Canis lupus familiaris: one gene and its partners. The protein of the gene in region 3 interacts with the protein of the main gene of each other region in a biochemical or structural test. Links are inferred from orthologs where the notes say so. Each region holds a gene or a part of one and is shown on either strand. Other genes may lie near its edges. The genes, in order: RFC1, SPRTN and PCNA.

The links.
Region 1: the proteins of PCNA (region 3) and RFC1 form a complex in vitro, tested with the Homo sapiens proteins (5 studies listed by BioGRID, with this or other methods). The link is inferred for Canis lupus familiaris from reciprocal best matches to the Homo sapiens genes PCNA and RFC1.
Region 2: the proteins of PCNA (region 3) and SPRTN form a complex in vitro, tested with the Homo sapiens proteins (4 studies listed by BioGRID). The link is inferred for Canis lupus familiaris from reciprocal best matches to the Homo sapiens genes PCNA and SPRTN.

The regions. Positions count from the first base shown.
Region 1 is NC_049224.1:73,697,390-73,701,114, forward strand, and holds part of RFC1 (replication factor C subunit 1), read left to right. Parts: coding exon 1-81; intron 82-185; coding exon 186-284; intron 285-1,885; coding exon 1,886-2,040; intron 2,041-2,148; exon of another isoform or gene 2,149-2,165; coding exon 2,166-2,283; exon of another isoform or gene 2,284-2,315; intron 2,316-3,725. UniProt on the Homo sapiens protein: Subunit of the replication factor C (RFC) complex which acts during elongation of primed DNA templates by DNA polymerases delta and epsilon, and is necessary for ATP-dependent loading of proliferating cell nuclear antigen (PCNA) onto primed DNA.
Region 2 is NC_049225.1:8,498,905-8,502,729, forward strand, and holds the end of SPRTN (DNA-dependent metalloprotease SPRTN), read right to left. Parts: intron 3,225-3,825; coding exon 2,960-3,224; intron 2,040-2,959; coding exon 1,291-2,039; 3' UTR 468-1,290; downstream 1-467. UniProt on the Homo sapiens protein: DNA-dependent metalloendopeptidase that mediates the proteolytic cleavage of covalent DNA-protein cross-links (DPCs) during DNA synthesis, thereby playing a key role in maintaining genomic integrity.
Region 3 is NC_049245.1:16,928,870-16,932,469, forward strand, and holds the start of PCNA (proliferating cell nuclear antigen), read left to right. Parts: upstream 1-1,026; 5' UTR 1,027-1,222; coding exon 1,223-1,443; intron 1,444-2,503; coding exon 2,504-2,601; intron 2,602-2,769; coding exon 2,770-2,837; intron 2,838-3,600. UniProt on the Homo sapiens protein: Auxiliary protein of DNA polymerase delta and epsilon, is involved in the control of eukaryotic DNA replication by increasing the polymerase's processibility during elongation of the leading strand.

The DNA of each region.
Region 1 (3,725 bases), on a different chromosome or scaffold from region 3:
ATTGCATTTAAAGAGGGTTTGAAGATCCCGCCTCCGGCTATGAATGAAATAATTTTGGGTGCCAATCAAGATATCAGACAGGTAAATGGGATAGGTATTATTAACAGTTGCTGATTCTTTTGAATTAATGCCTTCGACTTTTCAGAGTTTCACCTTGACCATGTCTTATTTATGATTTCTGTTAGGTTTTACACAATCTGAGTATGTGGTGTGCACGCAGTAAGGCACTAACCTATGACCAGGCCAAGGCTGATTCTCATAGAGCCAAAAAGGATATCAGACTGGTAAAATAAATTTCCATTTACTTTCTCAAGCTAAAGCATTTCTTGTTCTGTTCATATTAACTTAATAGAAGTAGTTATTATAGTTCCTTGATAACGCCTATTGAACCTGTGGATATTTATAATAAGAAAGACAGCTGCTATAAAAGATTTTCTAGTTCAGATTAATTTTTCTTCAAGGACTGTTTGTTAGCATATATTATGTATAAATTATGAGATATAGAAGTTTTAAATTATATTCATGCTTCAGTAGTTATAAAATGGCCTTTTCAGAGTCCCTTATGTATAGATTTCATGTTTTGAAGTTTTGGAACTTTGAGAATAATCTATTTCAAATGGCTTATCATTTAATAACCTGTCTGAAACTTGAAACTAGAGGTCTAAGAGCAGTTTTAGTTTCATAGTGAGATTTAGCACACAGTACAAAGACTTCCCTTCTTATTCTCTGCCTCCAGACTCCTGCAACCTCTTCTTCTATCAGTACCCCCACCAGAGTGATACATTTGTTATAGTTGAACCTACATCATTATCACCCAAAGTCCATAGTTTACATCAGGGTTAGTTCACTCTTGATACAGCTTCCATGGGTTTTGACAAATGTATCAAGCTTTTATCTACCACTGTATATCACACAGAATACTTTCACTGCCTCCTGTTTATCCATCACTTCTTCCAACCCCTGACAATCACTAATCTTTTTAGATTTTATTTATTTATTTTAGAGAGAGAGCATGAGCCAGGGGGGAGAAGCAGAGAGAGAGGGATAAGCAGACTTTAGGTTTAGTGTGGAGCCCGACACAGGGCTTGATCTCATGACCCTGAGGTCATGAGCTGAGCCAAAATCAACTCAGCCGCCTAACTGACTGAGCCACCCAAGGCACCCCAATCACTAATCTTTTTATTGTCTCTAGTTGCATCAGTTTTCACAATGAGTCATGTAGTTGGAATCATACAGTATATAAACTTTTTAGGTTGGCTTCTTTCTTTTTTTCTTTCTTGAGAGAGTGAGCGAGTATGACTGGGGGAGGGGCAGGGGGTTAGGAGAGAAAGTCTTAAACAGGCTCTATGATGCAGGGCTTTATCTCACGACCCTGACATCATGATCTGAACCAAAATCAAGAGTTGGATGCTTAACCAACTACCACCCAGGGGCCCCCAGATTGGCTTCTTTGAATTAGTAATACTCATTTAAGGTTTCTCCATATATTTTCTATGGCCTTATTATAGCTCATTTCTTTTCTGTGCTGTATAATATTCCAGTGTCTGGATGTACCAGTTTATTCACCTTTTGAAAGACATTTGGATTGCTTCCAAGTTTTGTCAGTTACGAATAAAGCTGCTGTAAAGATCCATGTGCAGGGTTTTTGTGTAGTATGTTTTCAGTTTATTTGGATAAATACCAAGGAGGACAATTGTGGATGGAATGGTAAGAGTATAGTTTTGTAAAAAATACTGCCAATCTGTCTTCTAAATGACTATACCATTTTGCAATCCTGCTAGCAATAAATGAGAGTTCGTATTGCTCCACATCTTTGCCAGCATTTGATGTTGTCAGTATTTTGGACATTGGCCATTCTATTAGGTGTGTCCTTCCCTTTTTTTAGGGCCCGTTTGATGTTGCCCGGAAAGTGTTTGCAGCTGGAGAGGAGACCGCTCACATGTCACTTGTGGATAAGTCAGATCTCTTTTTTCATGATTATTCAATAGCACCCCTCTTCGTCCAGGAGAACTACTTACATGTGAAACCTGTAGCTGCAGGGTGAGTGTTCAGAGTTAGTGAGGGATAGAATTCATACCCTCCTGGCACAGCGAAGGCCATATACCTGGGAAAGAGGGGTATGAGATACGGACAGTGGTGTAATCCAGACTGGTTTATTTATGCAGGGGCGACATGAAAAAGCACTTGATGCTTTTAAGCAGAGCAGCAGATAGCATATGTGATGGTGACCTAGTGGACCGTCAGATCCGGAGTAAGCAAAACTGGAGTCTTCTGCCTACACAGGTAAGCACAGGGCTCTCCTTAAAATGCAGACTCTGCTTTAGTTAAAGAGAACAAAATAGCTTTTTAGTTCGTAGAGTTATTTGAAATACCAGATAAACATATGGCTCTTAGGGCAAAAATAAAGTCTTGTTCTAAATTAAATCACTCTGTGGTCACAATTGTGATTTCTTAATAAAAATTTTTTAAAAAGCCTTATTTTTCAGGGTTTCAAAATGTTTTATGTAAATTGACATAGGGAAATAGGAACATTAGATTCTTGACGTAAGTAAGATGTCAGTCAAAAGTTTTATTTGCTCTGCTTTACCTTAAGAGTCCATTTCTTTTTTGTCATTTTTTGGCTCTCCTAGTTGAAGTAATGCAACCAGGGCAGGTCAGCAGCTGATATGTGAGTAATAATAAGCAAGGGACTTTTGGGAGGCCTCCTCCTCTCTTAATTCTACTTATACATTGTTGGAAAACAAAAAATAAAGATGCATTCTGGATGTAAAGAATCCTTTCTATTATGTTTTACAAGAGTTCACTTTTTATTTTTTTATTTTTTATTATTTTTTAAAGATTTTATTTATTTATTCATGAGAGACAGAGAGAGAGAGAGAGAGAGAGAGAGAGAGGCAGAGACACAGGCAGAGGGAGAGAGAGAGAGAGAGAGAGAGAGAGAGGCAGAGACACAGGCAGAGGGAGAAGCAGGCTCCATGCAGGGAGCCTGATGTGGGACTCGATCCTGGGACTCCAGGATCACGCCCTGGGCAGAAGGCAGACGCTAAACTGCTGAGCCACCTGGGGATCCCCAAGTGTTCACTTTTTAAACTAAAAATTGTACCTTTAAGAATTTATCCTAAAGAAATAACTTTAAACATAGGAAAAGATTGCTGTACAAAAATACTATATTAGTTTTGATACTCTAAGACATTGGAGAAAATCTCCATGTCTAGCAATAGGAGAATGATTATGATAAATACTCTTGATGGACTATTACGCAGTCCTTAAAATTATTTATAAAGATTGTCTAATATAAAAAAAAAAGATTGTCTAATATGAAAAAATGCTTATGAGAGAATATTATTAGAATAAAGCAGGATACAAAATTTATGTGTAATTCCAACTTCAAGAAAGTATAAGCCCTGGATAAAGAAGATATTCAAGAATACCTTTTTAAAAATCTTTTCTTGGGGCACCTGGGTGGCTCAGAGGTTGAGCGTCTGCCTTTGGCTCTCAGGTTGTGATACCAGGGTCCTGGGATCGAGTCCTGCATTGGGCTCCCTATAGGGAGCCTGCTTCTCCTTCTGCCTATTTCTCTGCCCCCTCCTCATGAATAAATAAATCTTTAAAAAATAAATAAAAATCTTTTCTCTAGTGTCGGTTTACTTAATACTCTATTCAGTTTTCTATGCTTTGATCTACCTGTGCTGTTAATAGTTTATGTTAAAGACAGTCATGTTCCT
Region 2 (3,825 bases), on a different chromosome or scaffold from region 3:
TGCCCGTTAATATTAGAATGGCTGAATAAACCCTGGCGTATTTGTACACTCAAAGCAACGACCTAGAATGAACTTCTACAGTGTGGCAACAGGGTAGTACTTCATGAAGTTAAAACCACACTCAAGCACCCCAGGGTGGCAGAGACGTAACAGAAACAGTGATTACCCTCAGGGGTTGTGGCTGCAGACTAGGAAGCGTGCGGACACGAATGCAGGAGGTGCACTGTTCCCTCCCTGACCCGAGGCTGCCGTCACCCAGGAGCACCAAGGCCAAGTTCACACAGAGGAGCTGGCACCTCGGGTAGGTGGAGGTCATGTCGCAACATAGCTCAGGAGAAAGAAAACCTGTGAATTCAACTCTTGGGACCAGGCCAACATGCTAGTGGTACAGCCATGAGAAAGTGAACGGACGAAAGGATCTTGGTCTCTGCCACAACACAGTAAGAATGTTTTTAAAAAGAAATTACTTTTTAAAATGCACAAATGGTATTCCTTTTTATTTTAACGGTTACAACTTTGGCTTAAGGTTCATAATACTGTTTCCAGACAGTGTTCCACTGTTAACATAAAAGAGGCTGTTGTGATGTGACTTACACCAGCTCCTTAGCAGGTGAACCACTCATCTGGCTACATCTTGAGAAAACCACTCAACTCTGGCCTACAGGATTGCAGGAGTAGTCGTCTAAAACGTTTATTTGACTATATTCCTTCTATGCTTTAACCTAAAACCAGCTGCCACCTTTTAGTGATGACAGAAATAAAATTCTTGGAGATGTATAAAATATATTTCCTGCTGAGATTAAAAAAAGAAACCAAAAAACAAAAAACTTTGAGTACCCTACAACAACTGATATACTTTGTCCTCGAAATTGTAATTTTGGCCAATGTTTAGCTTCAGTTCTATGACTGAGTTTTAATATGAACAAAGAAATACTCAGTTTAACCAAATACCTGTCAGGATTCCAATGTATTTTGAGGAAAGGTATATAAATAAAAAGATTAACAGATTTAAATGCAATTTAAGAGCAAGGAAGAACATAAGTATCTAAAAACTATACATGTACACATGCAGAACAAACTCTGAGCTACAGGATACACAAGGCAAAAGTGAATATAGCACCTTTCGACATAGAATATTTTCCATTGCAACCTCATGTATATATCTATAAAATAGAACTACATTAAAACCTACAAATCTTCATGTTCACCAGAACTTCCTGAGTGGCTGACACTATGTTAGCAGGGTAATATAGGTGGCATGTGACACCCATTTGTCTTTCAAAGACTTCTTCAACTTTTGACTTTGATGCTACCACCTTCAAGGCACCAGTCCAAGTGCTCATTAATCTGAGACTCCAACACTTCATTCTGACAAACAGGACAATCGACCATCCTGTTCTGGCTGGATGCACTGCTGGAATCCTGAGTTGCAGCTGTAGGATGTGAACTCCACTTTGGATCATTTCCACCACTTTGTACTTGCTCTTTCTTGATAAAAAAATTGTCAAAAACAGTCTTGTCTTCTAGCCTGGGTCGTTTACTTGGGAGTTTCTCCTCAGGCCCACTCACATCCTGGGGTGCAGTCACAGATGTTGATTCCGGTGCTTTTAAAGAATTTCTCAGGGATATCTTAGAAGAGGTGACCCTTTTGTGAGATCCAGAAGAGATGGAGTTTTTAGTGATGTCACCGGTTGTTAGGCTTTTTGTTGGAGATCCATTCACACTTCGGAAGGTCTTTTGGTTGGCAACTGAGACCCTAGGAAAGTAGTTGCTTAAGACATTTTGGTGACTGGCAGTAAGAATAGGGGACACTAGAGGAGTTTTTTTACTTGAACCATTCTGTTCAAATTTCACCTCAATTTTAGAATTGGGTCTGAGAGCTTTTGCTGAATGGTCTTGACTTAAAAGATCTTGGGTTTTATTAATAGCATACGAAGTAACAAACTTTCCCGATGAAGGCGAGTTGCTCGTTTCTCCTAGAACATATCCTTTCCCACTGAAAGGGATCAACAGCTGGGTCTCACCTCTGTTAGATTTATCTACAAAAGAAGCAAAAGTTCTCTTGACTCGAAATTAATACAGTAACAAGTGTTAAGCTAATGAGCTTGGGAGAAGGACGTATCTACAGTGGTCAGGGGGCTCAGGGAGGGAGAGAACACAAAAAATAAAAATCTAGCATCCCAAGCCCACTAGCAAAGGAACTTGTACCTTGAAAATCACTTAGCATTCTTCAAGTTTAGTTCCAGAGGGAAAAGTCTCCTCCCACATTCTTTTCTTTCCCCCTACTCACACAGAATGGGGATCTATAACCTCTCCACATAAATTCTTCTCTAGCTCCTCTACTCACTCACCATTTTTGAATTTAGGAAAAGTAGCTTATTATTAATGTTTCTGGATCCAACCAACAATTTCCCAAGGGAAGAAGTCTTAACTTTAGTGACCTGGTTCCCTCTTCAAAAGGCAGGGACTCTGAACTTCATAGGAAAGGGATAAATCTCAAAGATGAAGTACCAGCACATACATGTCATATCCTTTTCCCATTCTTCTCCCAATGAAAATACATACATCAACAGCAGAAGTCACTCGGCTAGAAGCCAACTGATAGGAAGGGGTGGGTTAGGAGTAATTCCGGGCATTGTTATTTGAATTACTGTTTTTATTTTGACAATCATTTTGCCTTCTGTTTCCCAATGACTCAGTGAGTCAAGATAGGGAAAGGGCCTTTACCTAACTCCAATATTATCCGTGAACACAATTTCTACTTTAACTCACACTACGCAAAGTACATTTTTCTACCATCACTTCACAAACAATGGGATTTGTTTAAATCCACACTTACAAATGTCTATACTTGAAATAATCCTTAAGCTCATCTTAACACCAGTTCTCCAGAGGACAGCCCTGGCTTTTATACTGTTAGCTGTGGTCCCAGCAAGCATGGAAGAGCAGACAAAGTTACCTTTATTTTCAGCTGCTGTTGGCTGCTTTCCTACTTTTGTCTTTCCTTTGCCCTTTTTTGAGTAATTCTCTGGTTCCTTGATTTTGATGTAGGTGCCGCCACAGGTCTTCTGGTGCTCAGCCCACCAGTAGTCATGCACAGAGGGTGCCCTGTTGGTGGCACGTTTGACATAACCGTAGTAGGGTTTCTTGTACTGACAAGGCCCATTGCAGCGCCACCAGTGTCGCCGGTACTCATCCACCTCATCGTGGAAAGTATGGTACACCTGGGTTGAGAGAAAGTGCTCAGTGTTAAAGAGGCAAAGTTAACAATTTTAAAAAAATACAGAAGCAGCCTTCCTGTGTTTAAACTTTCCAGTTTCTGAGAGCTCTCTGCAATGACACTTTGGAGAAGGCAGCAAACAGATTTAGCTTCTGTTCCCAAAGTTCATTTTAATGGGACAGCAGCAGTTAATAATACTTCAAAAACTGTGTAAAGATAGAAAGATGTGAGATTAGAAAACAAAAAACTTTTTAGCCCACAAAAGCCTGTCAATGCTAAAAGTTTTAGAAACCAAATTTTAAAATGATCAAAAATCAGGATAAACCAAATTTTAAAATGATCAAAAATCAGGATAAAGACAAAATTTTATATAATGCCATAATAAATAACAATTATTCCTTCCTACTGTTCAACTGAAATTTTCCCCTGTAAGTAACAATACCAAAGGATTCTGGACTATTTCCTAGAAATGCTCAACCCCACCTACACAAGCATTTTGCCTGATGCAGTCTCTGCTACACCCACTCCACATTCTCAAAGGTCTTTGCCCCCTTGTCTTTGTAATGAGCCTCATGGGGGCATCATTCTACCTGCTTATGGCAAAA
Region 3 (3,600 bases):
GAGTCCCACGTCGGGCTCCCTGCATGGAGCCTGCTTCTCCCTCTGCCTGTGTCTCTGCCTCTCTCTGTCTCTGTGTGTCTCTCACGAATATCTTAAAAAAAAAAAAAAAAAAATTTACAAATGGGGACACCTGAGTGGCTCAGTGGTTGAACATCTGCCTTTGGCTCAGGGCCTGATCCCGGGGTCCTGGGATTGAGTCCTGCATCAGGCTCTGTGCAGGGAACCTGCTTCTCCCTCTACCTACGTCTCTGCCTCTCTGTATCTCTCATGAGTAAATAAAATATTTAAAATCTTATTTATTTGAGAGAGAAAACATATTGGGGAGGGGCAGAGGGAGAAGGAGAGGTAGAAGCAGACTCCTCCCGGAGCCAGGAGCCAACCTTGGATCTAGATCTCAGGACCCTGGGGTCATGACCTGAGCCAAAGGCAGAGGCTCCACTGACTGAACCACCCACGTGCCCCCTGTAACAAGTTTTTAATATGCAGATCAGAATTTTCACGCAAATAAGCTTAGATTTTTAAAACAAGATTGCTGATATCTGTATTTAGGAAAATATTGTAGATTGCAATCTTTCAGTGGTCAGCTTAGCAACATTTATCAACACATCACTTCTACGATAGCAAAAATAAAATGCACTTTTAAAACAGCTGTATTCCTCGGGCCGCCAGGCGTCTTCCTCCCGGTGGGCTGGATTTGCCTTTCACTTTCACGGCCAAAGCCTTTCTAGTCCTGAAGCGGGAGGTTGAGGAGGCAGCACAAGGCTGTAACTCAAAGAACCCCAACCTGGGTCTGGCCGTCACAAGCCCAGACTTGTTCAGCGCCCGGCGTCGCGAGCGGGGTGGAGAAGGCAGTCCCGCGGGAGGCGGAGGCGCCCCGCTCCTGCCCCGCCCCTGCCCCGCCCCTGCGGCCGACCCTTCAGTGGACGTTCAGGGAGGACGGGCTGGAGCGGAGGCCAAGGACACTATTGGCCCCGGAGTCCGTCCGCCAGGGAGTGGGCGGGGCAACGTGGTGACGCGCCACGCGCGGCGCAGAGGCGGAGCGCGCGCGCCAGCAGACGCGGCGCTATTAAACGGTTGCAGGCGGAGCGGGCGGGCGGTGATCGTCCCGGCTCCCCGGCCCTCGCCGCTGCGTTCGCCAGCTCGCTCGTACCCCGTGACGCCAAGCCGGCTACAACTTCCTCTTCGTCTCCGCCTGCAGCTGTGTCGTTGTGACTCTGCCACCATGTTCGAGGCGCGCCTGGTCCAGGGCTCCATCCTGAAGAAGGTGCTGGAGGCGCTTAAGGATCTCATCAACGAGGCCTGCTGGGACATCAGCTCGAGCGGCGTAAACCTGCAGAGCATGGACTCCTCCCACGTCTCCCTGGTGCAGCTCACTCTGCGCTCCGAGGGCTTCGACACGTACCGCTGCGACCGCAACTTGGCCATGGGTGTGAACCTCACCAGGTGAGCCCCTGGGGTCGCCAAGGGCCGGGCTCTCTCGCACCCCCACCTCCGGCTCTTGGCGGGAGCGCCTGCGAGCTAGGTCCTCATTGGCTGGCGTGGGCGACCCGCGCCTTCTCATTGGCCTGCGGCGCCCAGGGGCGGGATCTAGCGGAGCGCGCGGTTCCGAAAGCCCGCGCTGGCAGCCGCGCGAACCGGCGTTTTCCGCGCCAAAGTCACAAAGCGGGTGGTGGCGGGAAAATGACGGGCTTCTTCGTGGTGCCGGGAAAAGACTTACACAGCACCTTGGCCACTAAGTGCCGGCGGCCTTGGATGAGAACCCTTTGGCTTGACTGCCTTTAACCGCTTTATAATGTGCCCGAGTTACGTCACCCTACCTAGGGACCATCGGTTGATTCTGGTCCTTTATTATTAGGAAGTTGCAGTGAGCACCCTAAGTTCCTGGACTTAAAATTTCTCCAGGGCAGTGGCTTTCAACTCTTTGATCACTACATGTCTAGTACATGAACATGTTTAAAGATTTTATTTATTCGTGAGAGACGCAGGCAGAGGGAGAAGCAGGCTCCCTCAGGCTCCACATAGGGAGCTCTATGTGGGACTCCATCCCAGGACCCCGGGATCACGACGTGAGCCAAAGGCAGGCGCTCAACCACTGAGCCACCCCGCCTTCCAAAAACATGTTCAAATATGAGGCTTATGAGAAATAGTTGACCTCGACTGCATGCAGTGTGTATTAATAAGTATCTTAGCTCATTTTTCTTGACCGTCAGGACCCAATAATTTGCTTCGCGCACCAAAGGGATTTGCAATTTGCAATGCGTGAAATGCTGCTCTTTTATTTGTATCTAGAAGTGAAATTGCTCATGGTAGGCTGTGTGCCTGTTTAAGAATAAATACTGCCAAATTGGGTTACAAAATGGCCGGATTAGTTTACCTCACTCACCAATTCCTCAGACGACCTTGGTAAATAAAGATGGTAACTCCTTGTTTTAATTGGGTCAGAAATCTTAACGATTCTGAGAACGTTGTGGCAATTTTAAATCCTGTGTCTTCCGTGTTCTAGCATGTCCAAAATACTAAAATGTGCTGGCAATGAAGACATCATTACACTAAGGGCTGAAGATAATGCGGACACCTTGGCACTAGTATTTGAAGCTCCAAGTAGGTGATACTCTTCTACTAAATTATATTAGAGGAAATTTAAATGCAGTGTAAAAGATTTCTCTTAGTTGTGAAAAACTTAAGAAAATGTTCCTAATGATTGTAAAGCTTATTAATGGCATAGTTATAAACTTACATACTTTTCTTCAATCTGCTTTCTTTTGGTAGATCAAGAAAAAGTTTCAGACTATGAAATGAAGTTAATGGATTTAGATGTTGAACAACTTGGAATTCCAGTGAGTATTAAGAGTAGACTTTAAAGCAGTGTTAGGGGATCCCTGGGTGGCTCAGCGGTTTGGCACCTGCCTTCCGCCAGGGGCATAATCCTGGAGTCCCAGGATTGAGGCTCCCTGCATGGAGCTTGCTTCTCCCTCTTCTTGTGTCTCTGCCTCTCTCTCTGTCTCTGTGTCTTTCATGAATAAATAAATAAAATCTTAAAAATAAAAATAAAGCTGTGTTAGCAGAAATTCATTCAGGTGAGGTTTATCAACATAAGAAATGTTGAGATGTTTAAAATCCTTACTATCTTATCTTCTTGTTTTGTTTTGGTAAGCAGTTGGGCCTGCTTGCACACGCATCATCATTTGTAGGCCATACCCTAATGTCCTCTTGATTTAGCCCTGGAGGGGGATTTAGGGGGAGGCTCTTTTCTCCTGGATAGTGCATTTATCATTAAAGATTTAAACTTTAATTTTAGTTTTCTTAGTATGATTATTCTTATGACATATTGTTTTAAAAATTTTTTTTTAATTTTTATTTATTTATGATAGTCACAGAGAGAGAGAGAGAGAGAGAGAGAGAGAGGCAGAGACACAGGCAGAGGGAGAAGCAGGCTCCATGCACCGGGAGCCTGATGTGGGATTCGATCCCGGGTCTCCAGGATCGCGCCCTGGGCCAAAGGCAGGCGCCAAACTGCTGCGCCACCCAGGGATCCCCATACTTGTTTTATATCTGCATTTATTTTTTGAGTTAGAGATTATGTTATGGAAATACACAATG